Linked DNA regions of Arabidopsis thaliana. The protein of the gene in region 2 interacts with the protein of the main gene of each other region in a biochemical or structural test. Each region holds a gene or a part of one and is shown on either strand. Other genes may lie near its edges. The genes, in order: ETR1, EIN2, ETP1 and ETP2.

Evidence for each region.
Region 1: the proteins of EIN2 (region 2) and ETR1 form a complex in vitro, tested with the Arabidopsis thaliana proteins (2 studies listed by BioGRID).
Region 3: the proteins of EIN2 (region 2) and ETP1 form a complex in vitro, tested with the Arabidopsis thaliana proteins (one study listed by BioGRID).
Region 4: the proteins of EIN2 (region 2) and ETP2 form a complex in vitro, tested with the Arabidopsis thaliana proteins (one study listed by BioGRID).

The regions. Positions count from the first base shown.
Region 1 is NC_003070.9:24,731,757-24,740,050, reverse strand, and holds ETR1 (Signal transduction histidine kinase, hybrid-type, ethylene sensor), read right to left. Parts: upstream 5,890-8,294; 5' UTR 5,768-5,889; intron 5,399-5,767; 5' UTR 5,354-5,398; coding exon 4,448-5,353; intron 4,373-4,447; coding exon 4,004-4,372; intron 3,927-4,003; coding exon 3,672-3,926; intron 3,590-3,671; coding exon 3,462-3,589; intron 3,372-3,461; coding exon 3,174-3,371; intron 3,046-3,173; coding exon 2,685-3,045; 3' UTR 2,333-2,684; downstream 1-2,332. Other genes in the region: AT1G66345 (Pentatricopeptide repeat (PPR) superfamily protein), read right to left, coding at 698-2,332; AT1G66330 (senescence-associated family protein), read left to right, coding at 7,907-8,145, 8,238-8,294. UniProt on the Arabidopsis thaliana protein: Ethylene receptor related to bacterial two-component regulators. Acts as a redundant negative regulator of ethylene signaling.
Region 2 is NC_003076.8:784,223-794,606, forward strand, and holds EIN2 (NRAMP metal ion transporter family protein), read left to right. Parts: upstream 1-3,205; 5' UTR 3,206-3,375; intron 3,376-3,908; 5' UTR 3,909-4,366; coding exon 4,367-4,615; intron 4,616-4,759; coding exon 4,760-4,846; intron 4,847-4,936; coding exon 4,937-5,047; intron 5,048-5,138; coding exon 5,139-5,351; intron 5,352-5,432; coding exon 5,433-5,618; intron 5,619-5,728; coding exon 5,729-8,389; intron 8,390-8,466; coding exon 8,467-8,844; 3' UTR 8,845-9,182; downstream 9,183-10,384. Other genes in the region: IDH-V (isocitrate dehydrogenase V), read left to right, coding at 9,821-10,012, 10,158-10,384. UniProt on the Arabidopsis thaliana protein: Central factor in signaling pathways regulated by ethylene (ET) and involved in various processes including development, plant defense, senescence, nucleotide sugar flux, and tropisms.
Region 3 is NC_003074.8:6,543,367-6,550,255, reverse strand, and holds ETP1 (EIN2 targeting protein1), read right to left. Parts: upstream 4,057-6,889; 5' UTR 3,743-4,056; coding exon 2,495-3,742; 3' UTR 2,164-2,494; downstream 1-2,163. Other genes in the region: VRN1 (AP2/B3-like transcriptional factor family protein), read left to right, coding at 1-376, 473-541, 641-840, 931-1,169, 1,602-1,704; MEF20 (mitochondrial editing factor 20), read left to right, coding at 5,139-6,557; AT3G18960 (AP2/B3-like transcriptional factor family protein), read right to left, coding at 6,688-6,758, 6,827-6,889. UniProt on the Arabidopsis thaliana protein: Negative regulator of EIN2 protein stability.
Region 4 is NC_003074.8:6,518,211-6,524,792, reverse strand, and holds ETP2 (EIN2 targeting protein2), read right to left. Parts: upstream 3,225-6,582; 5' UTR 3,034-3,224; coding exon 1,867-3,033; 3' UTR 1,732-1,866; downstream 1-1,731. Other genes in the region: AT3G18930 (RING/U-box superfamily protein), read left to right, coding at 1-683; AT3G18915 (uncharacterized protein), read right to left, coding at 321-375, 504-742; AT3G18905 (F-box/associated interaction domain protein), read right to left, coding at 4,001-4,588; AT3G18900 (ternary complex factor MIP1 leucine-zipper protein), read right to left, coding at 5,116-5,403, 5,494-5,622, 5,698-5,784, 5,877-5,936, 6,047-6,146, 6,252-6,532. UniProt on the Arabidopsis thaliana protein: Negative regulator of EIN2 protein stability.

The DNA.
Region 1 (8,294 bases), on a different chromosome or scaffold from region 2:
ATAAAGAACCAGTGTTTCCTTTGGAATTTGGATAAAGCATCAAGAAACCGAAATTGAAGGACCAAAACCGAAAAACTGAAAGAACCATGCATGCAGCTCAAATCACTTGTGTTAGATTGATGATAAAATATATGTCCGAATTATGTCAAATAACTTAGCCAACTTATGTCTATTAATTTTTCTTTGAATTTTCAAAGATTTATATTCAAAACAAAGAATGAGATAAATTTTTCTCCTTGAATGATGTATCTTCATATACACCCATATCTAAAGTTTTAAAATTATATATTCTGGTTGCAGCCATCTCATTACCGAAGACGTGAAACGATTTTTAGCGTCATGAAAATATAGACGTCACTACGATCCTCTGGTTATAGACGTCACTCCTGCAATTCCCTGTTTCGATCTCTAGTTCCATGGTTTTAGCCTTTTCTTTTCCTCTGGTTTCTTATATTTTTTCGACACGTTACCAAACGTTTGGTGGAATGGAAGTTGACAATAAAAAAAATGACGTTGTAAAATTCTAAAAGTTGTTTTTTCTTTTAAGTTTCTATAAGTTGACTTTCATTTTTCTGTGGTCCAATACATGATCGTTGGGTCATTGACCCAAGATACAAAATCAAGTTTTCCCAAGATGAAGCTCAATGGAGCTTAAATTCATACAACCCAGACACCCTCCTAAACCACCCGGTTTGAATCATCTGACTGAAATCATCTCATTATAAACTCTATCAGCATTTGTTTTATCACCAATTTTCTGAAATGCCTTAATCAATGCGTCATATATATCTGCATTAGGCTCTATCAACCTCTTCTTCATAATTTTCAAGTACTTTTCTCCGGCTTCCACTTTACCACAAGTGCAGAGTCCCACAATTAGTGACCTAAACACCTCGAAACCAGGAGACATCTTTCGGTATTCCATCTCGTAGAACAGCTTAAGCGCTTGATCGATATCGTTTCCTTCTATAAACCCTCGAATCAGATGAGAGTACGTATGTTCATCGGGCACAAACCCTTTATCTATCGACTTTGTTAAGATTTCATTTGCGCGATTCACGTTCTCAATCTTACTTACACTCTTAACCATCTCATTGAAAGCCGAACAACTAGGCATAAGCCCTCTCGTTACCATTACCTCACAATACTCCAAACCTTTCTCTTCCCACCCGAACCTCGCGAAACCACCGATAAGACAATTAAACGTCTCGTCATACGGACTGACTCCAGACTCCTCCATCTCACTCAACAACCTCTCCGCTTCTTTAACATCACCCTTTTCACAACAAACTCTAACAAACACCGTATAAACAAACGAATTCGCACTAAAACCTCGTTGAAGCATTTCATCAAACACCTTCCGTGCAGACACCAAATCACCTTCCTTAGCTTTCGCATAAACAACAATCGAATAACCAATAGTATCAACAACCATATTCTTCATCAACAATCTCTTCAACAAACTCATACTCTCCTCTATTCTCATCTCTTCCAAAACCCTAAACACTAAACTCGTATTCACAATCACTGAAGGTAAACATCTCTTACCACAAATCCTATCTAACAAATCAACAACTTCTTTCAATCTCCCTTCTTTACACAACACTTGAATCATTATCCGAATCGTAATCTCGTTCGGATAAATCCTTTTATCAATCGCACATTCGTAAATCCTCCACACAAGATCATCAATCTTCGATTTCGAAGAGTAATGAATCAACGTGTTTAAAGTAATCACACTAAGAGTAAATCCACAATCACACAATCTCTTGAACACATCAAACCCTAATTCCAAATACCTAATCTTAGCGTAACATTGAACTAACAAATCAAACACTAAAGGAGTAGAAGATGAGATCTCATAAGTATCTAACAACGAATCGACTAAATCCGAATCGGGAGGAGAATTTAACAGAGACGATTCAATTAAAGCTCGAGCGTCGATTAGTAATCGAGCTTTGACAAGGATATGAATCGTCAATGCGTAAGATTTGATTCCGTGACGGAGATTTCGAGTGTGGGATGACCAATGGAAGAAGGATAAAGCTTGTTTGGCGGTTTCGGGGTTTTTGAATCGGAGAAGGATTGTTTCGATTAAGGAATCTGATAGATCTATGGAGGAGAATTTGGTGGAGAGAGTTTCCCAGGTATCGTTGGATTGGAGGGATTTGGAGATGTAGTCGATGAGGATTTGTTGTTGTTTGTTTGGATTTGGATTAGTTTTGGAGGAGAAGGAGAAGAAGCCATGGATGAGTTTTGGAGATCGGGTTGATTGAGAAACTAAGTAACGCCATTGTTGTTGTTCTACTAAGCGGCGCAAAGCTGACGCCATAATACTGCATCAATGTCATACATGCACGCAACAAGCATCCATAACTCGATCCAAATTCTTATAAGAATGTAACTACATATATAAGGATACAACATTAGTCAAACATGTAATCTGAAATGGTATGATTATACCACCACCATCTTGTTCCTCTATAACCGAAATCGCCACGGACACATACCGGTTTAGAGTTTCTATTTTGTTATTCCCTTTCTGTTTTAAGATATCATCCAAAACGCTCCGACAATCTCTGATATGTACACAATTAAACCAGAGAACATCAGCTTCCGATGTTTTACGGGAGAAGAAGGCGGGAGCGGAATTACTCCTCTGGGGCATGGGGCATCCATCGCCTTTACATGCCCTCGTACAGTACCCGGGGCTCGAGAAGATCAGACAGAACATCTCTTATGTTGTCTAGTGATACGGGTTTGAGCAACACACCGTCTAGACCAAAGCTCATGCATTTCTCTTTTGTGGATTTGTCAGTGTTACCACTGAGTGCCACAAGTAGTGGCCGTTGGTGGCGTTGTTTTGTGAATTTCTCGTGAATACGGAGAGCGATTTGGTAGTTTTCGACCCCGGGCATGCACACGTCCATGAAGACCACTTTGTGCTCATGGGACACAACTCGGAGACACTCCTCGTTTGAACTCACCGTGGTCACTTCGCACCCAAGGTGTACAAGAAGTCCCTTCGTCACCATTCTACTTACCCTGCAACCAAAATAATCATCGGTTTCTCATAAGATTAAATTTGCGTTTTTTCTAAACGCCAATATCTGCATTTGCAAGAAGTAAGGCGAGAGATTTTGCAAAGAGAAAGGTGAGAAGCTTATACTAACCCGTTCTCATCCATGACAAGAACCTTAAGTCCAGTGAAATTTGAATGTCGGGGAATGGCTGGAACTTTCGGTATGCCCGACTGTTTAGATTCGTTTGAACGTTCTGAGATCCCAAGTTTAACATCAAAGATAGCCGTGCATCCTTTTCCAAGACCATCGCTCTCAATCCAAATGTTACCCTCCATCAGATTCACAAACCTTGTCATATTAAACGCTTATGAGTAAACTTTTAACAACACAGAAGACAAGAAAAAGTTGGAAAAAAACGTCTTTTAATAAGGCTCAAACCTCTTGGAGATGGCGAGGCCAAGCCCACTACCACCCGAGCTTCTCGTCGCTAAAGATTGTGTTTGAGCAAATTTAGTGAAAATCTTTGGAATGTCTTGAGGATTTATTCCTGCTCCAGAGTCTTTTACCTATATTTGAATAATCATCAAAATTAAGACCTAAGAAATACTTTCAGCTATGGTATAAGATCCCAAGATACAAGATAATAACCTTCACTCTCAAGTAGAAATGACTCCCAGTTGGCACGACAAAAAAGTCAGCAGCTCGTGTGTCTGACTTGGTGACAAGAGCGGTTACGGAGATACTACCTTGTTTGGAGAATTTCACAGCATTACCAACTATATTTAATATTATCTGCATTAGCCGTTTCTCATCCCCAACAACAAATTCTGGCAAATCTGGTGCAAGATTTAGTGTGATGGGTAATTTCTTAACAACCGCTATAGGCTTTATCAGATTGAGGACCTGCAACAAGATTCAATATGACAATCAAGTACACAAATAGTATAAACTTATGAAACATAGAGCTGTTCAAAAGTTACCTCTCTAAATAATGTATGAAGATTGAATGTCCCAAGTTCAAGTTGAAGACTTCCATCTTCTAACCTTGAAAGATCTAAGACATCATTCATCAAAGTTGCCAAAAGGTTACTACTTTTAAGTATTGTTTCCACCATCAGTCTTTGTTCAGGGGTTAGTTCCGTTTCTTGGAGTAAGGAAGAGAGTGCAATAATCGCATGCATCGGTGTTCGCATTTCATGGTTCATAACCGCTAGGAAATCATTGCGGGCACGGATTGCTGTTTCTGCTTCTCGTCTAGCTAGATCAAGAGCAACATTCTGCTCCATGAGAAGGTCCCTAGCTCGCATCGACTCTTCTAGGATCGCAGCATGTGAGAGAGCTACAGCCACCTATAATAAGAGAAGAAAAGTTATAGACAAGATCATGAACATAGCAAAGAAGAGAAATTCTCAGCAATGTAAAACCTGATCAGCGACGACTTCAACGAGTTCCAACTCATGGACATGCCATTGCCTTGCACTATCTGAAGGAAGCATCAAAACCATCAAAGCATATCTCTTTGTTGAAAGCTCAGGCCAGTCATTAATCTGAAAATTAGAAAGGTGGAGAAGCGGAACCCTCACAGCGACCACCTCCCCTAGCATATATTTCCCAGAAACAGGTCTCAACCTAGCCACAGGAGAATTAGGAGATATTTTTACAGCCCTACTAGTACCAAACACTTGGTTAATCACCGGTAATTGAATAGGAACCGTATACTCCACGGGATGTTGATGACGAAGTGTATAAGAAAGCTGTAGCTCTAACCCAGTTCTAGTAGGCATCCACAATGCACACTCCTCCAAAGCTAATGTCCTACCAAGCTCAACAAGTGTAGTCTTTAAAATAGTATGTCTATCTAAAGTGCTTCTAATCTCATGAGTCAACATTCTCACATGCCTTCCGGTTTCTTCCTGAGTTCGAATCAATCCCATTTCTCTATCGAGCTCAGCAGCTTTATTTTTCAAGAAAAGCTCCCGAGTCTTAACACTCAAAAGATCAGGAATAATATGAACAAGCATCAACGCAGTAGCACACGAGACAACAGCGGTTAACACCTTCGCGGTAGTCATCACAAGCGCCACGGTTCTCGAATGCGTAGTGAAAGTCCATAAGTTAATAAGATGAGTTGCTCCACAAAGAACGATAAAAGCACCAAACTGAACAAGTACCCATCTATACGGAAACACGGCTGATTTCTTCACAAAGTAAATCAACTCAAGAGGAATCGAAAAATACGCAATCGCAATGAAGAAATCGGAGATGTATTGGTATTTCATTAACAATTCATCCGCTGGCCATTGCGGTTCAATACAATTGCAGACTTCCATTATGAATTTTTTACACTATAGTTCCTCTCTCACACATACACACACCTGTGTAACAAACACATAGCATTATCAACTTCGATTTACGACGAGAACGTAGCGTAGACAGATCATGAGCATCAAAATTGCTATAAATTCTGAAGAATCGAATTCGATCACAACGATTACGAAAAAATAGGTTGCATATTTCAGTCTCGAGAACAGTAAAATTCGAATCCGAATCATGAAATTAACGATTAAATCTTAATTTAAAGTTCCTAATAACGATGCATTACACTAGATAAAGACCAATTAGGTTAATCAATCTCTATGATTTGAGATCGACGACAACAACAGAAGAAAACTGTGGAAGTGAAGAATATATATAAAGAAGTCACGAAACAATCTGAGGAGAGAATCGAGGAAGAAGAAGCTTACTTGGGAAGAATTGATCGGAGAAGAGGAGGAATTGGGGATTTGGGACGCGGCGGAGAGCGACGGAGAAGGAGAAAAGGGGAGCGTTGAAGCTTTTTTTCAAGTCAAAATTGGTTGGGTTTAACACTTCTTCTTCGTTCTTACTTTTTTTTTCGACGTCATTTCTCTAATTTTTTTGTTATTATTATCAGATGTTTTTTTTTAATAAAAAAGGGTAATATAGCTGGTGGGTGCATGAATTTGTTCATTCAAATATCTTATGATAGTGTAATGACGTAATGTAGATAAAGGAATAGAGTAAAAATGGTAAGAAAAATACAGATAATATAGGATAAATATCCCCATATTTATCAACAAATACTATCTTTATGGTTTCACCAAAAAATGCAAAATATTGTTTTCACTAACTTTCACCTTACATTGATTCGTATGATTTCAAAAAAGGAGAATGATAATGTCATTTGGAGATTAAGCAATATATATGTTTAGCCAATATAAAATTATGAGTTTTAAGTGTAATCTTATGTAAATAATCGTTTGTATAAAACATTATATAGTTGTAAGAGAAGTAAAACAAGTTGAATCAAACAAATATGTTCATGTGAATAAAAGCTATATTATGTCAACTTGGAGATATATCAAACTACTAATGTTATATCTGGTTAACTGTAATATATCTCCAAATTGACATAATATAGGTTTTCAGTACCTCAAAACTAAATCAGAGTTAACCAGAAATTTGATCCTAAACCAAAAGTATATTAAGCAATTATATAAAATTATTACATTAGTTTTTTTTGAAATCAATCCTCCGAAAAATGTACATAAGACCTTAACCAGTCAAATCAAAATCCAAACAAAACTAAATTTCATCGATTCAATTCTCAACCAACGTTTATGTCTCATATATACTAGTGTTGATTACTTCAAACTTACAATATGGAATCTTAATATATACCTTCAAGATGATGGCTCTAATCAGCCTATCTCGAACTGAATCTCATTTTAAGATCAGTATTAAATCTCAACACACGAAATTTTGATACATACAGTAAAACCTCTATAAATTAATACTCGATAAATTAATAATCTCTATAAATTAATAAATTTTTTCGGTCCCGAGTTGGAACCACTGTAAAAAGTGATACAAATCGATAAATTAATAAGATAATAGTTTTTTTGAAAATCTTATATAAACATAGGGTCCCATTAATATCATAAATTACAGAGAAATATAATTTTAATATTGTTTTTTTTTTACTTAAATTTGTATAAGTTTTTTTTTATTTCATTTTAATATTTTTACTCTATCAAAAACTTTTCTTGTTGTTTTCTAGACATGATAATTATTTCTATTTGTAATTGGTTCTAAAAATATATTTTAGATAATGGAATGAATCTTAAATTTTTATAGAAATTAAAAAAAAAATTACCACTTTTGGAAAATCTCTCTGTAAATTAATAAATATTAATTTATCGATAAATTAATACCTTTATAAATTAATAGAATTTTGTGGTCTCAACATTATTAATTTATAGAGATTTTACTGTATTAAATTTTATGGATTTCCAAATTAAATCTAATTAATAATAAATAGATTGGTGTATATTCTTTATATATAAGTGTTGGTCCTTCAATTTAAAATAAGAATAAAAATCGCAATACCAAAATATATGGATTGAACCAAATTGATATTAAGGGAAAGAGTGGGGCCAATACTATAATGACCAGAGAATCGAAATAGAAAGAAAACTTAGGACATGGTTGGCTCACACTGGTCCACAAGTAACTCTTGTGGTTACAATTTTCACTTCTAATCCCATAATTCTCCTTCTTTGTCCTCTTCTTTCTCCCTAAAATCCTAAATCCTTCTTTGGATTACTCTTCTTCTTCATTTCTTCCCACAAGGTTAGTCTCTCTTCTCTATCGAATCTGTGTTCTTCACTGTTTCATCTCTCCAATTCCCAATTTTTCCTTGATGGGCTTTGTCTTAAAAATCAATACTTTGAGTTTGATTCAAGTGGGTAATCTCTACATTTAAGCAAAATTGTATCTTTATGTCGTTCTAAAATCGAGAATTTTATAAATTTGATGCCTTGATAAGTTTATCTGAATCAATTTTGATATTTAGGTTTATCTCAATGGCTCTTAACGTGAGCAAGGTTGTTCCCAATAGTCCAATTTTAGTTAAGAGTGTTAATGCTTCAAGATCTCGAAGAGTTCTGTTGGCGTATGTTCATCATCCTTTAGCTGCTAATAAGGGTTCATCTATTGAAGAGTTAAAGCAAGGTCTTTGTTGTACAAAGACTGTCACTTTTGTTAGTTCTCGGAGATGTTCTACATTGTGCTTTGTTGGAAAGTCTCAAGACACTGAAACTAAGTAAGCCCTTTTAGTTGTTAGCCTTTACAGATCAAACTGGTCTGGTTTTGTTTCATGCTTAGTTATAAGTTTCTTGTGTGATGTGTTGTTAGTTCCCAAGTTGTACAAAAAGAAGGTGAGAAGCAAGTGATGCCGAGGAGGAAAAGTAG
Region 2 (10,384 bases):
AATATATCAACTAGTGCATTTCATTTACATTTTAAGTTAAGTTCATATACGTTTACGTTAGATACTGTAAATTTTTGGTCCGATGGTTTTGGATATAAGGGGCTGTTTTGACATTTCCGATTATAGAATAGATCATTTGCCTTCAATTTTTCTAAAAATGTTACGTAGACCCAAGCTAAATTTATTATTTGTTGGGCCAACCTAAACACTAATATCGATTGCAACACTTGGTTGTTGAAAGACCTAGCTACCACTTATATTACTAATCAATTTTTCTTGGTTTGAATGTGTAGATCAAATCGATTCAATTTACTACCAAAAACATTTGTCTGAGCTACAACTTTCGATCTAAAGTCCTGAGCCAAGCAATCTTTAATTATAGAAAATCATTACATAATCTCGAATTGTTTAAGTTACTTAAAATTCATATGTCTCCTCCTAAAACATCCCCGATTCGATCTTATTCTTCTGGTCTCCACGTAATAACTCACATACATTAAAAAAAGAACAAAAATAAAGAAAACCCACTTGATTAAACGAAAACATTTGTTGAATCGAACCAATTAATTGAACAATAAACGAGTTCTGATTTGTAACTGACGTCTCATGTTTCGAGGTTAATTACTAAAATTTTCAAATCTCCAATTCTTATGAACCCACCCACCATGTGTTTTAAGCCCAAGAGAGATTCAGTGAACCAAGAAGGAAAATAATTTAAATTGTCCCTTACACTAATGAAAGGTTATGTTAACAAAAATCCATTTTATTAATAGATTGATAGTACTAATAAATAAATATTTGGACACAAAGCCCAAAAGATCACAATCTAGTTAAAAAAAGATCGACAAGAAAGATTCTTTAAGCTGATGAATGATCTGTACCATGTAGCTTTGTTCCCTTTTTGGTTAACTGCCCAAACAACATCAACGAGACTTTATAAAAAAAAAACTTCCTTATGACCAAACTAAATAACTGAAATTGATTTATTAGTCAAAACATATTAAAGAACTTATTTGTATGATATCATTATACATTCCATATGTAACTGAAATATGACTATCTTGACTCTTTGAAGAATTCTGACTTTTTTTATTCAGTCAAACTTTTAAATTGTGTTGGTTACTCATCGGTACGGATAAAAAAATTCGTATGTGTTATTTCAAAAGTACTTGAAGAATATTGTTTCTATATATATTTATAGTGTTATAAAAAAACAAGTGTGGTCTCTATGTTATGGTTCATTGAACATATACATCAACATAGGACTGAGAGGAGCCCATGTTCCTTTCATTGATGCAAAATTTTAGTTTCTTGTGTTTTAATTTGCTTCCTATCCAATGTACATGTATATATACTTTCACAAGAGAATATGGATAATGTTGAGTATGTTAAATATATAGTGACAAGTTACATAAAAAAAGCCTAAAGAAATCAAATTGGAAAAAATAGTAAGGTACAATGTATGGTTATCGAAAGCCCAAGCTGTACTTCCATTGATGTAGGAGATGATTAGGAACACGTGGATTATATTTGACCAAAAATAGTAGAAATTCTATTTATATTTGTTTTCTTCTTTTGGTTTTGGGTTTGATTTTGTGATTTGGATAGTTCGGTTAAGGATGGTTTGATCAATCAATATAACCATACTAAAATATGATTCAGTTAACTAACTATAGTAACTGTTTCTTCGTTAGTAAAATGATACATTTATTGGAATCTATTGACAAATCTTAATGACTTATTATAACTGGTGATAACAAAATCTAGCTATTATTTTGTATCCAACTACATATTTTGTATAAAATGGAAATTCGTATATGATATTTGTTTAGTTTAAAAGTAGAGTGTATTTGTTTTTTCAATGATGATTTAATGAAATCAAGCTCTTAGTTGAGATCAAAAGACAAATAAAACAAAATGTTTTTTTTTGTTTTGTTTCTTTTCTATTTGAGGGAAGGCCATGAATTCTTATTTTTGACAAATAGTTGTTCTATGCAATTAATATTGATGTCTAATACATATACAGCAGAATAAATAAAAACTTGCTATATAAAGACGTATTATTTATAGCATTCTGTGGAGTATAATGTCGAATCCTGTTCTCATTTCCGATTTTACATATTTATGGTACTAACGCCTTCATTTATTTTTCCATTTTCGTTAGTCAACAACTTCAGCTTTTGATAACGCCTAATTGTATCATCAACTTTAGTTAGTTTTCTCAAATAACGTCATTTTCAAATAAAGTTTTTGATTTCTCTTTTATTATATTTATGCAAAAGGAAAATTATAATTTCAGTATTTTGCAGAACGCTGAAATGTATAATAGAACCTATTCATGTATTTTTGTAAAATTTTAAAGATTGTTTTAATACTAAAATAAGTAAATCATTAAAAAAATTCCTAGACATTGGTCTCTAATATAAGATAAATAGATCTAAATTATGTTTGGATTTTAATTCTAATAAAAAGGTAGCCAAAAGTTATATATACAATATTTAAACAATTTTATTTGTTTAAGATTTGAATTTTATAGTATGCGAGAATCGCGTAAACTTTTCTCGAATGTAACAAAAAATTTCAAATCTTCTCGACACATGTAATCTTTTGCGAGTTAGAAGATTTGATTCCTTATTTTTTGTTCGTATTCTTAAAGTTAGTCACGTTTATATTATTTTTCGCTTTGTAACCGTCCCTTTAAATTTTTAATAAAAATTAAAAAAATTGCTAGAAAACAACATTTTTGTATTACTCAAATCAAAAGTACAAAAATAAATTTAGCTAGCGTTTCACAAAATCAAGTAAAATAATCTCCATTTGAAACTCCATAATCAAGCTGTTTGATGTATTATTATTACATGTAATGAGGAGAAAGAGGGGTCGAGAAATTTAAAGTAATAATAATTCTCTTCTTCGTCCATGGAATAAACTACGATTAGTTTAAAAAGATTAATAAAGATGGATTAAAGAAACTATATGTTAAACCTGGAAAATTTATTTAAAAAGACGTTTTTTTAGCTATAAGAAAAAAAAGAATAATACCTTTATTTTTACATGTTATTTACAAGTAATAATTTTTTTTTTCTCTCTCTCTCTTTGAAGGTGGCACGAGCACCCATAACCTTCAGACCTATAGATACAAATATGTATGTATACGTTTTTTATATATAAATATTTTATATAATTGATTTTTCGATCTTCTTTTATCTCTCTCTTTCGATGGAACTGAGCTCTTTCTCTCTTTCCTCTTCTTTTCTCTCTCTATCTCTATCTCTCGTAGCTTGATAAGAGTTTCTCTCTTTTGAAGATCCGTTTCTCTCTCTCTCACTGAGACTATTGTTGTTAGGTCAACTTGCGATCATGGCGATTTCGAAGGTGACTTCTTTCAAAAACCCTAATCCTCTGTTTTTTTTTTTATTTTGCTGGGGGGCTTTGTACGGACTTTCATGGGTTTTTGTAGCTTTTCCCTCGGCTTTTGCGCAAATGAGACTTTCTGGGTTTTTTTTCCAGCTTTTTATAATTTCATCAGGTGGATCGAATTCGTAGTTTCAGCTTAGATCTCTCTCCCTCTTCATTATCTGGACTTTCCAGACTTGGAGTTCTTCGGGATTGTTTTCGGTTTCTGGGTTTTGTTTTAATTGCGAGATTTAAGCTTTTTTCTTTTTTACTACTGTACTTGGTTTGTGGTTGACCTTTTTTTTCCTTGAAGATCTGAATGCGTAGATCATACGGGATCTTTGCATTTTTGTTGCTTTTCGTCAGCGTTACGATTCTTTTAGCTTCAGTTTAGTTGAAATTTGTATTTTTTTTGAGCTTATCTTCTTTTTGTTGCTGCTTCATACTAAGATCAATTATTGATTTGTAATACTACTGTATCTGAAGATTTTCACCATAAAAAAAAAATTCAGGTCTGAAGCTGATTTCGAATGGTTTGGAGATATCCGTAGTGGTTAAGCATATGGAAGTCTATGTTCTGCTCTTGGTTGCTCTGTTAGGGCTTCCTCCATTTGGACCAACTTAGCTGAATGTTGTATGATCTCTCTCCTTGAAGCAGCAAATAAGAAGAAGGTCTGGTCCTTAACTTAACATCTGGTTACTAGAGGAAACTTCAGCTATTATTAGGTAAAGAAAGACTGTACAGAGTTGTATAACAAGTAAGCGTTAGAGTGGCTTTGTTTGCCTCGGTGATAGAAGAACCGACTGATTCGTTGTTGTGTGTTAGCTTTGGAGGGAATCAGATTTCGCGAGGGAAGGTGTTTTAGATCAAATCTGTGAATTTTACTCAACTGAGGCTTTTAGTGAACCACGACTGTAGAGTTGACCTTGAATCCTACTCTGAGTAATTATATTATCAGATAGATTTAGGATGGAAGCTGAAATTGTGAATGTGAGACCTCAGCTAGGGTTTATCCAGAGAATGGTTCCTGCTCTACTTCCTGTCCTTTTGGTTTCTGTCGGATATATTGATCCCGGGAAATGGGTTGCAAATATCGAAGGAGGTGCTCGTTTCGGGTATGACTTGGTGGCAATTACTCTGCTTTTCAATTTTGCCGCCATCTTATGCCAATATGTTGCAGCTCGCATAAGCGTTGTGACTGGTAAACACTTGGCTCAGGTAAACATTTTTCTGATCTCTAAAGAACAAACTTTTTAAAATAACAAACTGGGCTCTGTGGTTGTCTTGTCACTTTCTCAAAGTGGAATTCTACTAACCACCTTCTCTATTTTTCTAACATTTTAATGTTCTTTACTGGGACAGATCTGCAATGAAGAATATGACAAGTGGACGTGCATGTTCTTGGGCATTCAGGCGGAGTTCTCAGCAATTCTGCTCGACCTTACCATGGTAGTTACTTACAATCTTTGCTGTTCTTAATTTTTTTATTATGTGATAAAATTTTGATTCCTCTGACTTGAGCTTCTCTATTATAAACAGGTTGTGGGAGTTGCGCATGCACTTAACCTTTTGTTTGGGGTGGAGTTATCCACTGGAGTGTTTTTGGCCGCCATGGATGCGTTTTTATTTCCTGTTTTCGCCTCTTTCCTTGTATGACTGGTCTTCCTGTCTTGTTTTTTTTCTCCACGTTCTTGAAATAGCATTATTGGAAATTAGCTGACATGCATACAATTTCTGACAGGAAAATGGTATGGCAAATACAGTATCCATTTACTCTGCAGGCCTGGTATTACTTCTCTATGTATCTGGCGTCTTGCTGAGTCAGTCTGAGATCCCACTCTCTATGAATGGAGTGTTAACTCGGTTAAATGGAGAGAGCGCATTCGCACTGATGGGTCTTCTTGGCGCAAGCATCGTCCCTCACAATTTTTATATCCATTCTTATTTTGCTGGGGTACCTTTTTTCTCTTTATATGTATCTCTCTTTTCTGTTAAGAAGCAATAATTATACTAAGCAGTGAACGCTCTATTACAGGAAAGTACATCTTCGTCTGATGTCGACAAGAGCAGCTTGTGTCAAGACCATTTGTTCGCCATCTTTGGTGTCTTCAGCGGACTGTCACTTGTAAATTATGTATTGATGAATGCAGCAGCTAATGTGTTTCACAGTACTGGCCTTGTGGTACTGACTTTTCACGATGCCTTGTCACTAATGGAGCAGGTTTGTTCTGACGGTTTTATGTTCGTATTAGTCTATAATTCATTTTTAGGGAAAATGTTCAGAAATCTCTCGTGATTATTAATTATCTTGTTCTTGATTGTTGATCACAGGTATTTATGAGTCCGCTCATTCCAGTGGTCTTTTTGATGCTCTTGTTCTTCTCTAGTCAAATTACCGCACTAGCTTGGGCTTTCGGTGGAGAGGTCGTCCTGCATGACTTCCTGAAGATAGAAATACCCGCTTGGCTTCATCGTGCTACAATCAGAATTCTTGCAGTTGCTCCTGCGCTTTATTGTGTATGGACATCTGGTGCAGACGGAATATACCAGTTACTTATATTCACCCAGGTCTTGGTGGCAATGATGCTTCCTTGCTCGGTAATACCGCTTTTCCGCATTGCTTCGTCGAGACAAATCATGGGTGTCCATAAAATCCCTCAGGTTGGCGAGTTCCTCGCACTTACAACGTTTTTGGGATTTCTGGGGTTGAATGTTGTTTTTGTTGTTGAGATGGTATTTGGGAGCAGTGACTGGGCTGGTGGTTTGAGATGGAATACCGTGATGGGCACCTCGATTCAGTACACCACTCTGCTTGTATCGTCATGTGCATCCTTATGCCTGATACTCTGGCTGGCAGCCACGCCGCTGAAATCTGCGAGTAACAGAGCGGAAGCTCAAATATGGAACATGGATGCTCAAAATGCTTTATCTTATCCATCTGTTCAAGAAGAGGAAATTGAAAGAACAGAAACAAGGAGGAACGAAGACGAATCAATAGTGCGGTTGGAAAGCAGGGTAAAGGATCAGTTGGATACTACGTCTGTTACTAGCTCGGTCTATGATTTGCCAGAGAACATTCTAATGACGGATCAAGAAATCCGTTCGAGCCCTCCAGAGGAAAGAGAGTTGGATGTAAAGTACTCTACCTCTCAAGTTAGTAGTCTTAAGGAAGACTCTGATGTAAAGGAACAGTCTGTATTGCAGTCAACAGTGGTTAATGAGGTCAGTGATAAGGATCTGATTGTTGAAACAAAGATGGCGAAAATTGAACCAATGAGTCCTGTGGAGAAGATTGTTAGCATGGAGAATAACAGCAAGTTTATTGAAAAGGATGTTGAAGGGGTTTCATGGGAAACAGAAGAAGCTACCAAAGCTGCTCCTACAAGCAACTTTACTGTCGGATCTGATGGTCCTCCTTCATTCCGCAGCTTAAGTGGGGAAGGGGGAAGTGGGACTGGAAGCCTTTCACGGTTGCAAGGTTTGGGACGTGCTGCCCGGAGACACTTATCTGCGATCCTTGATGAATTTTGGGGACATTTATATGATTTTCATGGGCAATTGGTTGCTGAAGCCAGGGCAAAGAAACTAGATCAGCTGTTTGGCACTGATCAAAAGTCAGCCTCTTCTATGAAAGCAGATTCGTTTGGAAAAGACATTAGCAGTGGATATTGCATGTCACCAACTGCGAAGGGAATGGATTCACAGATGACTTCAAGTTTATATGATTCACTGAAGCAGCAGAGGACACCGGGAAGTATCGATTCGTTGTATGGATTACAAAGAGGTTCGTCACCGTCACCGTTGGTCAACCGTATGCAGATGTTGGGTGCATATGGTAACACCACTAATAATAATAATGCTTACGAATTGAGTGAGAGAAGATACTCTAGCCTGCGTGCTCCATCATCTTCAGAGGGTTGGGAACACCAACAACCAGCTACAGTTCACGGATACCAGATGAAGTCATATGTAGACAATTTGGCAAAAGAAAGGCTTGAAGCCTTACAATCCCGTGGAGAGATCCCGACATCGAGATCTATGGCGCTTGGTACATTGAGCTATACACAGCAACTTGCTTTAGCCTTGAAACAGAAGTCCCAGAATGGTCTAACCCCTGGACCAGCTCCTGGGTTTGAGAATTTTGCTGGGTCTAGAAGCATATCGCGACAATCTGAAAGATCTTATTACGGTGTTCCATCTTCTGGCAATACTGATACTGTTGGCGCAGCAGTAGCCAATGAGAAAAAATATAGTAGCATGCCAGATATCTCAGGATTGTCTATGTCCGCAAGGAACATGCATTTACCAAACAACAAGAGTGGATACTGGGATCCGTCAAGTGGAGGAGGAGGGTATGGTGCGTCTTATGGTCGGTTAAGCAATGAATCATCGTTATATTCTAATTTGGGGTCACGGGTGGGAGTACCCTCGACTTATGATGACATTTCTCAATCAAGAGGAGGCTACAGAGATGCCTACAGTTTGCCACAGAGTGCAACAACAGGGACCGGATCGCTTTGGTCCAGACAGCCCTTTGAGCAGTTTGGTGTAGCGGAGAGGAATGGTGCTGTTGGTGAGGAGCTCAGGAATAGATCGAATCCGATCAATATAGACAACAACGCTTCTTCTAATGTTGATGCAGAGGCTAAGCTTCTTCAGTCGTTCAGGCACTGTATTCTAAAGCTTATTAAACTTGAAGGATCCGAGTGGTTGTTTGGACAAAGCGATGGAGTTGATGAAGAACTGATTGACCGGGTAGCTGCACGAGAGAAGTTTATCTATGAAGCTGAAGCTCGAGAAATAAACCAGGTGGGTCACATGGGGGAGCCACTAATTTCATCGGTTCCTAACTGTGGAGATGGTTGCGTTTGGAGAGCTGATTTGATTGTGAGCTTTGGAGTTTGGTGCATTCACCGTGTCCTTGACTTGTCTCTCATGGAGAGTCGGCCTGAGCTTTGGGGAAAGTACACTTACGTTCTCAACCGCCTACAGGTAACAAAAACCGCAGTAGTTCATTGAAAATCACAGTTTTGCAGTTTGAAAATATTGACATGTATGGATTTAAACAGGGAGTGATTGATCCGGCGTTCTCAAAGCTGCGGACACCAATGACACCGTGCTTTTGCCTTCAGATTCCAGCGAGCCACCAGAGAGCGAGTCCGACTTCAGCTAACGGAATGTTACCTCCGGCTGCAAAACCGGCTAAAGGCAAATGCACAACCGCAGTCACACTTCTTGATCTAATCAAAGACGTTGAAATGGCAATCTCTTGTAGAAAAGGCCGAACCGGTACAGCTGCAGGTGATGTGGCTTTCCCAAAGGGGAAAGAGAATTTGGCTTCGGTTTTGAAGCGGTATAAACGTCGGTTATCGAATAAACCAGTAGGTATGAATCAGGATGGACCCGGTTCAAGAAAAAACGTGACTGCGTACGGATCATTGGGTTGAAGAAGAAGAACATTGTGAGAAATCTCATGATCAAAGTGACGTCGAGAGGGAAGCCGAAGAATCAAAACTCTCGCTTTTGATTGCTCCTCTGCTTCGTTAATTGTGTATTAAGAAAAGAAGAAAAAAAATGGATTTTTGTTGCTTCAGAATTTTTCGCTCTTTTTTTCTTAATTTGGTTGTAATGTTATGTTTATATACATATATCATCATCATAGGACCATAGCTACAAACCGAATCCGGTTTGTGTAATTCTATGCGGAATCATAAAGAAATCGTCGGTTTGAAATGTTAAATCTCCTAAACCGGATCTCTGCACGTAGCTGACACATCGACGCTAGATTACTGACACGTGTCCTTATCAATATTTCTTCTCGAAACGTCTTACTGTTTCATAAAGTCCTTCAAATTTCTGGGGAACTAAGAAAATCCAGCAGAGTAACTAATCCAATGGGTTATGTAATCTACATATCGTTCCCGGCGATTCTTCTCCTTCTGATCGTCGCTATCGCCTTTTATCTCATCGGACGAAAAATCGGCCGGAGAGAAGGGATTCAATCAACGTCGCAGTTACACTACGGACCGCCGTTGGCTAATTTTCCGGCACCTGCACCACCGCATAAAGCTATGGAGAAGCCACCGGAGCCGGTTTAGTGTATGTATGATGACGTAATAATACTTACGTATTACGTAAACGTTCTATATATGTAGTTTGTGTGTTAAATAAGATGTAATTGGGCCGATGCTGAAACCAATTTTAAAACAACTCTTTATTGGGCCTGGGGTTTAAGGAAACACTTCGTGCCGTTTAAATTCCGTACTCACCTAATGCAACCTAGAAACTACGCAGCGTTTTGACGGAAGAAGAAATATTCGCTTCTTCTTTTACAACTTTTGTCCCACAACGCAGAAAAGTCCTCTCTTTCTCTCTCTCGAATAATAATTTTTCATTTGCTGCGTCCTTTTGGTGCTTGAAGCGATGACCATGGCAGCAAATCTAGCGCGACGGCTGATCGGAAACCGATCGACTCAGATCCTTGGAGCCGTGAACTCTAGCTCAGGTGCGGCTAGTTCTGTCGCTAGGGCTTTCTGCTCCTCCACCACTCCGATCACCGCAACTCTCTTCCCTGGCGATGGGATCGGTCCCGAGATCGCCGAATCTGTCAAAAAGGTCCCTCATCCTAATCTCTTTTCTGCGCAGAATTTCGAGTTCTGGAAGTCATAGTTACGAGATAATTGTTTGATTGAATTTTGTACGATAATTTGTGGGAATTCGGCAATTTTGTTGATAGTTTTTGCGTTTTGTACTGATCCAGGTGTTTACAACAGCTGGTGTACCAATTGAGTGGGAAGAACACTATGTTGGGACTGAGATAGATCCGAGAACACAGAGTTTCTTGACATGGGAAAGTCTCGAATCTGTGCGTAGAAACAAAGTTGGTTTGAAAGGTCCAATGGCTACTCCAATTGGGAAAGGTCACCGTTCTTTGAACCTGACTCTTAGGAAAGAGCTTAATCTATATGCCAATGTTAGACCTTGTTA
Region 3 (6,889 bases), on a different chromosome or scaffold from region 2:
GGTCATGTTTGGCGTGTAGGACTAAGGAAAGCTGACAACAAAATTTGGTTTCAAGATGGTTGGCAAGAGTTTGTTGACCGTTACTCCATTCGCATTGGTTATCTTTTGATTTTTAGATATGAAGGAAACTCTGCCTTCAGCGTCTACATTTTCAATTTATCCCACTCTGAGATCAATTACCATTCCACCGGTCTCATGGATTCCGCTCACAACCACTTCAAACGCGCCCGTTTGTTTGAAGACCTTGAAGATGAAGATGCCGAGGTCATCTTTCCTTCTTCTGTGTACCCATCACCACTTCCTGAGTCTACAGTACCAGCCAACAAAGGGTATGCTAGTTCAGCCATCCAAACCTTGTTCACTGGACCAGTTAAAGGTGATATTTATAACCAACTGATTCCCTTTATCTATCGCTGATTACGCGTCTTATCATTCTTTTGAGGTTGATGCTTGATATTTTCCTTATCTCCAGCTGAAGAGCCAACGCCAACCCCAAAAATACCTAAAAAGAGAGGGAGGAAGAAGAAAAATGCTGATCCTGGTAAGCACTTTTCCTCTTTGAAATGCTTCAGACTCGTTTTCAGAGGATTCACAGATTCTTCCTCATGATACATATATCCTTTTGATATTGTCCTTACAGAGGAAATAAACTCATCAGCTCCGCGAGATGATGATCCAGAGAACCGTTCAAAGTTCTACGAGAGTGCTTCTGCGAGAAAGAGAACCGTGACTGCAGAAGAAAGAGAGAGAGCCATCAATGCAGCCAAAACGTTCGAACCAACAAACCCTTTCTTCAGAGTGGTTCTGCGACCATCCTATCTATACAGAGGTTGCATCATGGTAATAAAAAAACATCTTAGGAAGACTTAATCTTATCGGTGTCTTCACTGATCTCTAAAAGAAGCCTTCTGTTTCTGTTTCTCTCAACAGTATCTTCCTTCTGGGTTTGCTGAGAAGTACCTAAGTGGGATCTCCGGGTTCATCAAAGTCCAGCTTGCGGAGAAACAATGGCCTGTTCGATGTCTCTACAAAGCCGGGAGAGCCAAATTCAGTCAAGGATGGTACGAATTCACTCTAGAGAACAACTTAGGAGAAGGAGACGTCTGTGTGTTTGAGCTGCTCAGAACCAGAGATTTCGTTTTGAAAGTGACAGCCTTTCGAGTCAACGAGTACGTCTGAACAAAGCATTATGGTGTGATCATTCTGGATTTGCAAGTACAATGTCGTGTAGGAGTATCTTAATTTAAAAACAACTAAAAAACTCTCTTCTGGTCTGTGTCATTATTGCGTCAGTGTCTCGTTTTTTCTCTCGGGTTTACTTTGTGTTATCGATGTGGATAAGTTGTTTTTACCTCATTATATATAACCTCTTGAGTGGAACTCAAATTGTTTGAGTAGAACAAACAAAGTTAGGGTTTAAGAAGAAGTCTGTAAATACCTAATCTCCATCAAATTTGAGTAGAAAGACAAACTGTTCTGGTGGAATACAAGGAGGGAACTTGAGATAACAAACTTAAGAATAGCCTTCAAGCCAACGTCTAGAATTTGATGAAGTTGTTGTTTGATCACCTCTGAGATAATTGGAAACCCTCTTCATGCAGTTTGCTTGAGGATACTGGTGAAAATGGGAGTATTGAAGGAAAATGCATATATAAGATTGTAGGTGGGAACTGTGGTAGCAGACATACAGAGGTGAAGCAGTAGATTACATAAGAAAACATCCAGATTCCCAAGGTGCAGGCACCCGCTCTTACAGCTACAAGGTACGGTACGTAATTGGCACATGCTTAACCATGTGATCACCACTAAATTGTGGTTGACTGTTAGATTGTCATGCTGATGTCAGGGGATGCATAATTGAAACGAGAGGAAGATGCAGTGCTGGTCAAAATCCCTGCAGTAAACTCTATGGATCTCTTGCTGATATGCGTGCGTTTATATTTGCATAACACTAGGTTAAACGACAATCAAGGAGTGTAGTATCATGAGTAAACATTTGATATGTTTCAACTTTGGATGCCCCAAAAAAACCACAAGCTTAGCTGTGGTTTTAAATAATTTGTGGGTTATGTTTTGGTCCAATATATGCTAGATTTATGCGAATGGGTAATAATGACTTCTAGTTGTTTGTACAACTTGAAACTTAGGTGAAAAAGAAACTCGGAGCTTCGAACATGAGTTACTTTTGTCATTGAATTAGAAATGGTTGAAGTTTTAGACACAACACTTGTTCTCTAGACATATACTGTACCAGACATGTTTTGATCATAAAACTTAAAAAAAAAAGAAAACCGTGTGTAAATCAAGCAAGGGACAACTACAATATTACAATCTTATTGAGATATCAGTTCAAAGGATTATTCAAAGAACATGAACAAGAAAATTTAAGGGCCTCTTCTACTTCCAGGTCGCTCGATCAGGGGATTATTCAAAAAATATGACAAAAATAAATTAAGAAAAACACAAAAAACTAATATTACATGTAGAGGTTGTTTTAGTCGTCACCTCTTTTTGTTTTGCCTCCTCCGGCTTGCTCGATTTGGACCAAACTTGGAGCGTAATTGAGAATAACTTGCGAAATTCCTTCAAGTGAATCTGTAGCCTCTCCCTCTCCAGAACCTACTTCATCGACTTTATTATCCTCCCCGAGAATGTATATCTTGTCGGTGATCTTGTACTCTCTCCTGCACTGGTACCTGTGGTGCTCTTGCGGTTCCAACCATCTCTCACAACACACAGCGACTTTCTTATCCTCGTCAAGCAAAAAATTTACCTCCTCCGAAAATAATTGAAGATCAGGGCTTAAATCAAATGCTAGGACCTTGGTCCAAGAGACTGCTGCTCCTTTGGTGGTGGTGTCATCAATCTTATTCGTCACCCATATCTCAGTCTTAGATTCAAAATCGAGCTGCAACAACAGAGAAAGATTCTCTCCTCCTCTAACGGCGGAAATACTCAAAATTTCATACCTTGGACGCTGATAGGGAAGAGTCACACATAGAGATGATTTCTCTGTTGAGAAATCAAATCTGAGCAAGGACACGCCAAGATGGGGTTTTGATTTCTCCGAAGCAAACAAGTAAAGATTTCCATTCATAGACACGGTCTGCTCTGAGTATATCAAGGTCCAGCCTGGAGTGAGATCACCATCAGGAATCGTCCTTGTCCACCTATCAGAGTAGTTAAGCTCGTAGATTTCTGTATCTTGGCCATTAGGATAAAAACACAAAATTTTGTAGATTTTTTTACTGCAGGAATTGTTCTCGTCTTGCTGGTAGCAGTATCCGAGAACAAATCTGACTTCGTATTCCTTCCAACGATAGCCGGCTTCGATCCACCTGGTTTGACCAGTCAGCGGGTTCCAAACCACGATTTTAGATCCGTATCGGGGATTCTTGCCTACGTGGTTGCATACCAATAAGCCGTCGCAGTGAAAGACTCGACCTATATCGAATTGATGTGAATAATCCGGATCTGGTAGGCTAAGCTCTCTCTTTAACACTACAGAAGGAACATCTCCTTGGAGATTGATGCTCACCGGACAGATCCTGTACTCGCTTGTCAACATGAGAGGTAGATACTCCTTTGGGGCTTTATGCATGTGCTCTCTTGCGAATCTCCTATCATCTTTGAATAAACGGTTCCATCGTTTGCTGGTAGATCGTAACCGTTTCAGATTCCTCGCCGGAACGCGACAGAGTATCTCATCGACCAAATCGTTACAGAGATCCGGTATCGTCATTGATCTCTGCCGCAGGCGCCACGGAATATTATTTATTTTCTAGGGTTTTGCTTTTCTTCAGCTTTCCTCTTGCGAGATATATACATAGACTGGAAAGAGGAAATGTAACAAATTGCTCCCTCAATTCTGAATATATTTTCATTTTTGCACCCTCAATCTTGTTTTCTGTAGATTCTATATTTGTAAATCAATACACACACGCTATGGAAAACCAAGGATTCAAGAGAATATTTTTTACACTAGAGAGAATTCAGACAGAAGGGAATCAACATTATCGGAAGTAGATTTTGTCCAAGGAAGATCTATCAGTTTACGCTGACGTGTATGACATTATTACTGTACTTTAGATAAGTAGGACCGGCCAAATATGCTGACGTGTAAAAAAAAAAAAACCACCTGGCCAACACGATAACGATTCCAAGTTTTTTTCACCGACATCCGTACCGGTCTATCCTCCTCCGCCTTCCAAAATCAAGGCAAAATCTGTGAATATCGGATACAGTTCTGGAGGGATCAATAGTTTAAAAAGCGTATGGATTGTCAGCGAAAGAATCTCTAGTGTTTTTTTTGCTTTTGTATAATCTGAGGTGGGTTCGTTGAGATTATCTGATCAAATGATATAGAGAGAGCTGTATGTTTCTGTTCTATGTTGTTAGAATTTTGTTCATAATTTTCGGATTAGCTTTTGAGGTTGATCAATGAAGCAGTAGACATCGCATAGGCGACACCATAGTCCATGTAATTTTTGAAATTAGCAAATTAGATGTTTTATCATCTGTCTCAAACTACCTTGAGGTAAAGATTTCTCAAATACGGGAGATTTGTTATAGGAAAACAGAGATGCGCAATGAATGACATGGGCAAAAGTGGAGTGGAGTGGAGGAATATAAGGGACACGTGACAGAAGCTTATTGGAGTGTTTGTCTAGTATGACAAGTGTTTGTTGTGATGATGCGCTTGAGGATATGATAATTTGTTGAAGACTGAATCCAGTGGTAGTAGCTAGCTCTCACTAGAAAGGGATTTACAGTGTAGGAGTATCTTAATTTAAAAACAACTAAAAAAACTCTCTTCTGGTCTGTGTCGTTATTGCGTCAGTGTCTCGTTTTTTCTCTCGGGTTTACTTTGTGTTATCGATGTGGATAAGTTGTTTTTACCTCATTATATATAACCTCTTGAGTGGAACTCAAATTGTTTGAGTAGAACAAACAAAGTTAGGGTTTAAGAAGAAGTCTGTAAATACCTAATCTCCATCAAATTTGGTACTTGTAGCCATGATGATGATTATGATGAAGATGGGTTTGTGCTGTAGATTCTTCGATATTTATTTTATCTCTTAGCTTTTGTTTCTCCTTCTCTTTGCCTTAATCCATTACAGTATCAGAGTTTGGTGCTTATGAGCTCTGTTTTTCCAGGACCAAGATTTTTGTCCTTGTTGCAACAGAATTCGAAAACCCTAATTCAAGCTAAGCAAATCCATGCTCAATTAGTCATCAATGGCTGCCATGATAATTCTCTATTTGGCAAACTCATAGGCCATTACTGTTCAAAGCCATCAACCGAAAGCAGCTCAAAGCTTGCTCATTTACTAGTGTTTCCTCGATTTGGTCATCCTGATAAGTTTCTCTTCAACACATTGCTTAAATGTAGCAAACCAGAGGACTCGATTCGGATTTTTGCCAATTATGCATCAAAAAGTTCGTTGCTTTATCTCAATGAGCGCACTTTTGTCTTCGTCCTTGGCGCTTGTGCTAGGTCAGCTTCGTCGTCGGCGTTACGGGTTGGTAGAATTGTTCATGGGATGGTGAAAAAGCTTGGCTTTCTATATGAATCTGAATTGATTGGAACCACTTTACTCCATTTCTACGCTAAGAATGGAGATTTACGTTATGCAAGGAAGGTGTTTGACGAAATGCCTGAGAGAACCTCTGTTACATGGAACGCAATGATAGGTGGATATTGTTCACATAAGGATAAAGGCAATCACAATGCGAGAAAGGCTATGGTTTTGTTTAGGAGATTCTCTTGCTGTGGTAGTGGAGTTAGACCTACTGATACAACCATGGTTTGTGTTCTTTCAGCCATTTCTCAGACGGGTTTGCTCGAAATTGGTTCTCTCGTTCATGGTTACATAGAAAAGCTCGGGTTCACACCCGAAGTTGATGTCTTTATCGGTACTGCACTTGTCGACATGTACTCAAAATGCGGCTGCTTGAACAACGCATTCTCCGTGTTCGAGCTAATGAAAGTGAAAAATGTCTTTACATGGACTTCAATGGCAACGGGGCTAGCTCTCAACGGTAGAGGAAACGAAACACCGAATCTTCTAAACCGAATGGCGGAATCTGGGATCAAACCAAACGAAATAACTTTCACTAGCTTGCTTTCGGCTTATCGTCATATAGGTCTTGTTGAAGAAGGAATCGAGCTGTTCAAGAGCATGAAGACAAGATTTGGTGTCACACCGGTTATCGAACACTATGGTTGCATAGTAGATCTTCTTGGTAAGGCAGGGCGGATACAAGAGGCTTATCAGTTTATATTAGCTATGCCTATAAAGCCTGACGCTATCTTGTTAAGAAGCCTCTGCAATGCCTGCAGCATTTATGGAGAGACTGTAATGGGTGAAGAGATCGGAAAGGCTCTTCTCGAGATAGAACGAGAGGACGAGAAGCTTTCGGGTTCTGAGTGCGAAGATTATGTCGCTTTATCGAATGTGTTAGCTCATAAAGGGAAATGGGTAGAGGTAGAGAAGCTGAGGAAGGAGATGAAAGAAAGAAGAATCAAAACAAGACCTGGTTACAGTTTTGTTTAACATAGCTTGTTACAGGTCAGGATTCAAAACACTACTCATTTTGCAATGAAAGTTTTTTAGTTTCATCAAGTCATTAATTAACATTACACAACAAATAAACTTGCAGGTCTCGGTTCTGTTAAAAGCTCTGTTATCCCCTGAAGACTCTCTTGTCTTCTTCTTCTTCTTTAAGCACATGCATTGGATTCATCACATCAAGATCTACACATAGATTAAAAATATTCAGATCCCAATCTTCTTAATCTATATTAAGAACAAAGTCTTCTTACCGTGTAGAATCTTGTCAAGTTCGATGTCTCTTGATCTCTTCTTGGATTTGTGCTCTGTATCAC
Region 4 (6,582 bases), on a different chromosome or scaffold from region 2:
ATGAATGGCTCCGATCTCACCCTAACTGTCCGTTATGCCGTACGGCGATTCTCGGATCCGCCGGAGTTTTAACGCCTATGTCGCCGTTCGTTCCGTTAATGGCTCCTCGAATTCGTCCGAGTCTCGATGATGAAGAGAATAACGCGATCATCATCCGCGGCGAAATCACACCGTCGCGGAGCAATTGGAACACAATCGCTGCCGATACGACGAACGATCAGGAGATCAGAGCGTCGGTGGAAGAGCAATCATCACCGGCGATTTCTCGGTTCCGGGAGCTGAAGAGATCGTACTCGTTCGAATGCGAGAGAGAATCTGAATCAGAGAGAGTAACGATGGAGCCAGCGACGGTGTCTCCATGGAGATACCGGAGATCTACATGGAACAAACGTCAATCACCGTTCGGAAACCTAATATCGAAATCAAGAGTGTTCTCGTTCCGTTACTACAGAAGCACGAAATCACCGTTCTTCCGACGGAGATCATCGGCGGGAGTGTTTTACCCGATATCAGAACGGATTCCAGCGACGGGAAGCTCATCGCGGCGAACGAAATCGATGACGAGTCCGATGTTCTTCAGAACAGCACCGCACTCATCGAGCCGGTTAAGATGCGGAGATCCAGAGGCACTGTTATCGCCGGAGAGATGGAGAAGAAGAGACACGTGTAGGGCAGAGATGTAAGATGAAATTTGGACGGTGGTGATGATAAAAAGAAATATTGAAGTGGAAGGAGAGAGCATTAATGGAATGTGGGGTTTAAGCATTTAATGGAATTAAAATGAACGAAACAGAAGAAGATAGAGAGATTCAGAAATTGCTCAGCTGCTCACATTCACAACAAGGTTCGTTTATTTATTACTATTTAGTATAAATAAATAATAACCATACCTTTATTTCTTCACCTCTCTTATTTAATGCTGCTAAAATACGGATTTCATTTATGAATATGATATAACGTATAGTCATAGAGAAATAAATAATTTGTTACTATGTACGTTGAATTTTCCTGACTAGGATACACACTTTCTTATATTACTATGGGTCTCAGACAAAAGACGCCAAGACGATGAAGGTTTTGGAGCCTGTACGACGGCGTTTTGGCTGATGATTCGTTTTTTCCTCTCTTTGGAGTTATCAAAATGCATTAACTTCAAAAGCTGCCAAAGTTATCATAGAAACGAAAGTCAACAACACATTGAATTTCGTTTCTATAATAACTTTACATCGTCGGTGGCTTTACTGTTTTCTGTTACCGAATTTTATGTTCAAACTTTTAGCTGTCGATTTAATTTTTGACCAAATTTTTTTGATGATTTATTACATATTGATGAATAACGTTAACCAACTGAGATTGAGAAGATCTGGATCAATTGCGGCCCTGTAAGAATAAATATTATGGGCTTTTTAGTATATTGGGGTTTAGTAAGAAAAATAGAACAAGGTTTAGGAGATCGCCTGAACGTTGAGGTCATTGTAATCTTGCTGGTGCTTGATCTGAAGCTCATGTTACCTTACCTGGCCGTGGAGGGTTGTCTTGTCCAATCTGGTCAATTGAGGGGATCTCCATACTTGGCTTATTTTACCATACCATGCCTGGCTTAGTGGTAGAACTTGTAAGGTGAATTGGGTGATAGTGGTAGAACTTGTAAGGTGGATTGGGTGATAATTTCTAGTTGTACAACTTGTAACTTGAGTGAAAAAAAGAAAACTCAGAGAAGAGATAGGGTGAAAGCTTCTTACATGTTTTCTGAATCACTTTTTTCATTGAATTAGAAAAGCTTGATTGATACTGAAAGAACATGACAAAGATAAAATTAAGAGAAACACACGCACAGAAAGAAAAGAGATTACATGTAGACAGTGTTTAGTGCCCTCTTTTCCTGTTGCCTCCAGCTCGCTCGATTTGAACCAAACTTGGAACATAATTAAGAATAACTGCCCGACATCCATCCATTTCATCTACTCCAAATCCCACTTCTGTGACAACATTATCCTCCCCAACAATGTAGACCATGTCTTTGACCTTGTTCTCATCAATCAATTTCTCACAGAACATGACGACTTTCTTATCCTCGCCTAGGAAGAAACTTCCATCATTCCCAATCTGAAGATGAGGGCTCAAATCCAATGCTAAGACCTTGGTCCAAGAAACTGCTCCTTTGGTGGTCTCATCAATCACATTTGTCACCCATATCTCAGTCTTGGAACTTTGATCTAGCTGCAATAACACAGAAAGTTTATCTTCTCTAACAACAGAAAGGCTACTAGCTTGGAAAAGACGACGACTCTGATAGGGAAGAAGCACAGGTACAGATTTCTCTGTATAAAAATCAAATTTGAGCAATGATATGGTGCGGGGCCGCTCTTCTGTTACACCTTTAGCGAACCAGTAAGTATTTCCTTTCAGAGACACGCTAAGTTCCGAGTATCCAATACTCCCCCGTGGAGCGATAATATCATCAAGAATCCTCCATGAATCAGAGTCAAAATCGTAGATTTCAAAATATTTGGTACCACGATAATAGCACAAGAGTTTGTAGCTCTTGATCCAGGATCTCTTGTCTTTTTGGTAGTAGTACCCGACATCAAAGCTACGGCCTTTTTGGCGAAAATCGCCGGTTCTGATCCACCTGGTTTCACCGGTTAAAGGATTCCAAACCACGACTCTAGATTCGTCCAATTGGGAGGAGCACAACAACAATCCCTCACAGTGAATGACTCGAGATATTTCGAATGGAGCAGCTGAATTCTTAGAATGAGGATCGATTAGCTCACTTTTAAGCTCTAGAGATGGACTATTTCCATGGAGATTGAAGCTAATCGGAAAAATCCTGTAATCATTCCTTAACGATAGAGATCTAAACTGTTTTGCGGATTTTTCAAAATGCTTACTTGCTAATATCCGATCACCTTTGAATAAACGGTTCCATGCTTTGCAAGTCGATCGTAAACGTCTCAGAGATGTTGCCGGAACGCGACAGAGTATCTCCTCTACCAAGTCATTTGGAAGCTGCTCCTGTATTGTCTTCATTGATCTCTGCTGTTACCAAATCTCTAGGGTTTCCTCTTCCCACAGTTGAGTTCAGCAGTAAAATGTTGAATAGTGAGTGACATGGACCTGATAAGAATCTAACAAGGCCCACTTTAAAAGCCCATATATTTGTGGCAATCAAATTTCCCCTGTTTCGTTCCCATGAGATCATATTGAGCATTGAATTTCTTGTAATAGCTTATTAGATTGAATATATGTGTTTACTTTCTGGAACTACTTGGTAGAACACTAGAACTGTGAAGGTTTTCCTCTGTTGCTAAAAAGACTAGATGCATGTATAACCCTGATTTTAGTGTTACTAACTTGCTAAGAAGCTCTGTTTTTTTTTTTTTACCTTTTGTGATCTTAGTGTTGCTAACTTGCTAAGCTTTGTTATTCCAAACTGAGACATGGTAATAAATAATATAATTTGTGGTCACATGGAATCAGAGTTCCCAACTGGCCATTCTATGTTACTGCTGTTTTTTCTACACAAGCAGGTCCTACCGAATGGACTGGATATCTTGGCCATGTTTACCCAAATCTCAGCGATATCTCTTGCTCCTCTCCTTGCACGTTACAATATATAAAACAAGCCAAGTTGTGGTTTCAAGTAATTTGGGGATTGTTTTCTGGTCCAAATATTTGCAACTTTAAGCTGTGTGTTTGTAAGATATAGAGAAAACACCAATTATACTTGCAACATACCATGCTTGGCTTAGTGGTAGAACTTGCAAGGTGAATTGGGCGATGATTTATAGTTGTAAAACTTGTATCTTGGGTGAAAAAGAAAACTCAGACAAGAGACAGGGTAAAATTAAGAAAAACACACACACAACTTGTATCTTTGTACATGTTTTCTGAATCACTTTAAGTCATTGAATTAGAAAAGCCTGAAACTGAAAGAACATGATCACACACACACACACATACACACACGCACAAAGATATTACATGTAGACGGTGTTTATTTACCTATGTTCCTATTGCCTCCAGCTTGCTCGATTTGAATCAAACTTGGAACATAATTAAAGATAACTGCCCAACATCCATCCATTTCAACAACCCCAAATTCCACTTGTGTGACAACATTGTTCTCCCCAACAATGTAGACCATGACTTTGGACGTGTGCACATCAACCAATCTCTCACACATGATGACTTTCTTCTCTTCGCCTATCAAGAAACTTGCATCATTCCAAATCTGAAGATGAGGGCTCAAATCCAATGCTAAGATCTTGCTCCAAGACACCACTTTGGTGGTGTCATCAATCTTACTTGTCACCCATATCTCAGTCTTGGAACTTATATCTCGCTGTAATAACACAGAAAGTTTCTCTTCTCTAACAACGGAAAGGCTACTAGCTTCAAAACGACGACTCTGAAGACTATGATAGGGAAGAGGCACAAGTACAGATTTCTCTATTGAAAAATCAAACTTGAGCAATGATATGGTGCGGGGCGTTTCTGTTACAACTATAGCCAACCAGTAAGTATTTCCCTTCAAAGACACACTGAGTTCAGAGTATCCAAAGCTCACGCCTGGAGGGATCATATCTTCAACAAACCTCCATGAATCAGAGTTAAAATCGTAGATATCAAAATATTCGCTACGTTGATGAGAGCTCAAGATTTTGTAGCTCTTATTGCAGCAATTGTTGTCTACTTGGCAGTATCCGAGGTCAAAGCTGCGAGCTTCTATGAGAAAATTGCCGGTTCTGATCCACCTGGTTCACCAGTTAAAGGGTTCCAAACCAAGACTCTAGATGCGTCGAAATGGGAGGTGCATAACAACAAGCCGTCACAGTGAAAGACTCGTGATATTTCGAATGGAGCAGCTGAATTCTTAGAATGAGGATCGATTAGCTCACTTTTAAACTCTACAGATGGACTAGTTCCATGGAGATTGAAGCTACTCGGAAATATCCTGTAGTCGTTCCTTAACAATAAAGGTATAAACTTAACATATCTCATAACTAGAAAGTTTGATACTTTGTAAGTTCTTCAATTCATTGCTCACATCAGATGGAAAACAAAGGAAAAAAAAAATAACTAATCCGAATCATGAGTCGTGTTTTCTTTTCAGAGAAGCAACCCGAATCTGAAATCATGTGCAATCCAATCTATAGAGAATCTTCCATGCTTCTTGTTGCGACACTTCTGGATTCTATCTCTTGCTTCACAAGGCAAACATTTCCCAATCATGTCAAGAACACCGACGTTGCAGAGTTCAGTATCCTTGGCATATATTTCAACAAGCTTCGGCAATAGAATCTTGTTGTCTTTGGAAATTCCTAGGTTTGATCTTACATACTCTTCTCTACCACATTCTAGCTCCATCATCACGTTCTTGGGGGTATATATACGAACCTAAAAGAATCGTGTTGCTTTATAACCTAATCCTTCAATATGAATAGCGTGTAAGATAAGAAACGATGTTGAGTCAGGGGATTTGCTTACTGATGGATCTGACAAGCTCCCCGAGCAAAGAGCGAAATGAAGTAGAGACTCACGGTGAGTTATAGCATAATCTCTTCCTAAATCTCCAGCTCTACCCTTTGATCTAGAAGCAAACAAGAACCTAAATACCTGCAAATACGCCAATCCTTATTAGCAGCCCTCATCAAGTTCAATTTTCAGAATCGAAAACAATCATAGACTTGCCAGTCCTGGACGAGAAACACGGCAACCAAGGATTGAAGTCTGAATGGTATCTAAGTTCAAGCTTCGACCTCCAACGTTGTAAGCTGCCTATATTACACAATAGAAAAGCCCTAATAATTGTTTATTTACCGATGACTTGTGTCCCAAGTAGTTCTGCACTGTAAGTAAGATTACCCTACCTTCAGCAACCCAGATACTCTTTTCATACTGTTTTTAGGGTTCCCATAGACAAGTATCGACTGCAAAAGAGACAAAAACAAACCCAAAATAGCTAATTAATATCTAGAGAGATTTGTCACTAATCACAAGATGGTGTTAAAAGAAGTTTAGTTTGAGAAATTAACATTACATGCATAACCAGAGAGTTGTGTATATTAATCCAGAAAGCTAGCTTTTCTTCATGATTTAACTTCCTTGGATTCACTCCTTCTAACTTATTAACAAGCGACCTAAACAATTTTGAATTCAAGAAGAAGTCTACAATTGATTAAATAACATAGTTGCTATATCTAAACTAAAAGAAGTTGATATTGTAAGAGCCTGAGATTGAAAACCTGAAATGTTTCAAAGCAGGTTCAACTGCATTTAACTTCTCTGAGTCTCTACTAATCGATTTCACCATTAATAACTTGTCGTAAGGTCGACTAATGATCTTCAGAGGCTCTTTCCCGCGGAAAGGACTGCTCGATTCTAGATCATTGTCGAGTGATCCTGGATCCACAAGTTGACGACATAATTCTGAGATGCACTTGACCATCTCTTCAGATAAACTATTTGGTGACTTATGAACGTTTTCAGAAACATATGTCCCAATCAACTCATCGATATCAGATTGCTGAAGACATGAAAATGTAAACCACCATTGGTAAAGAAAGAAACTCAAAC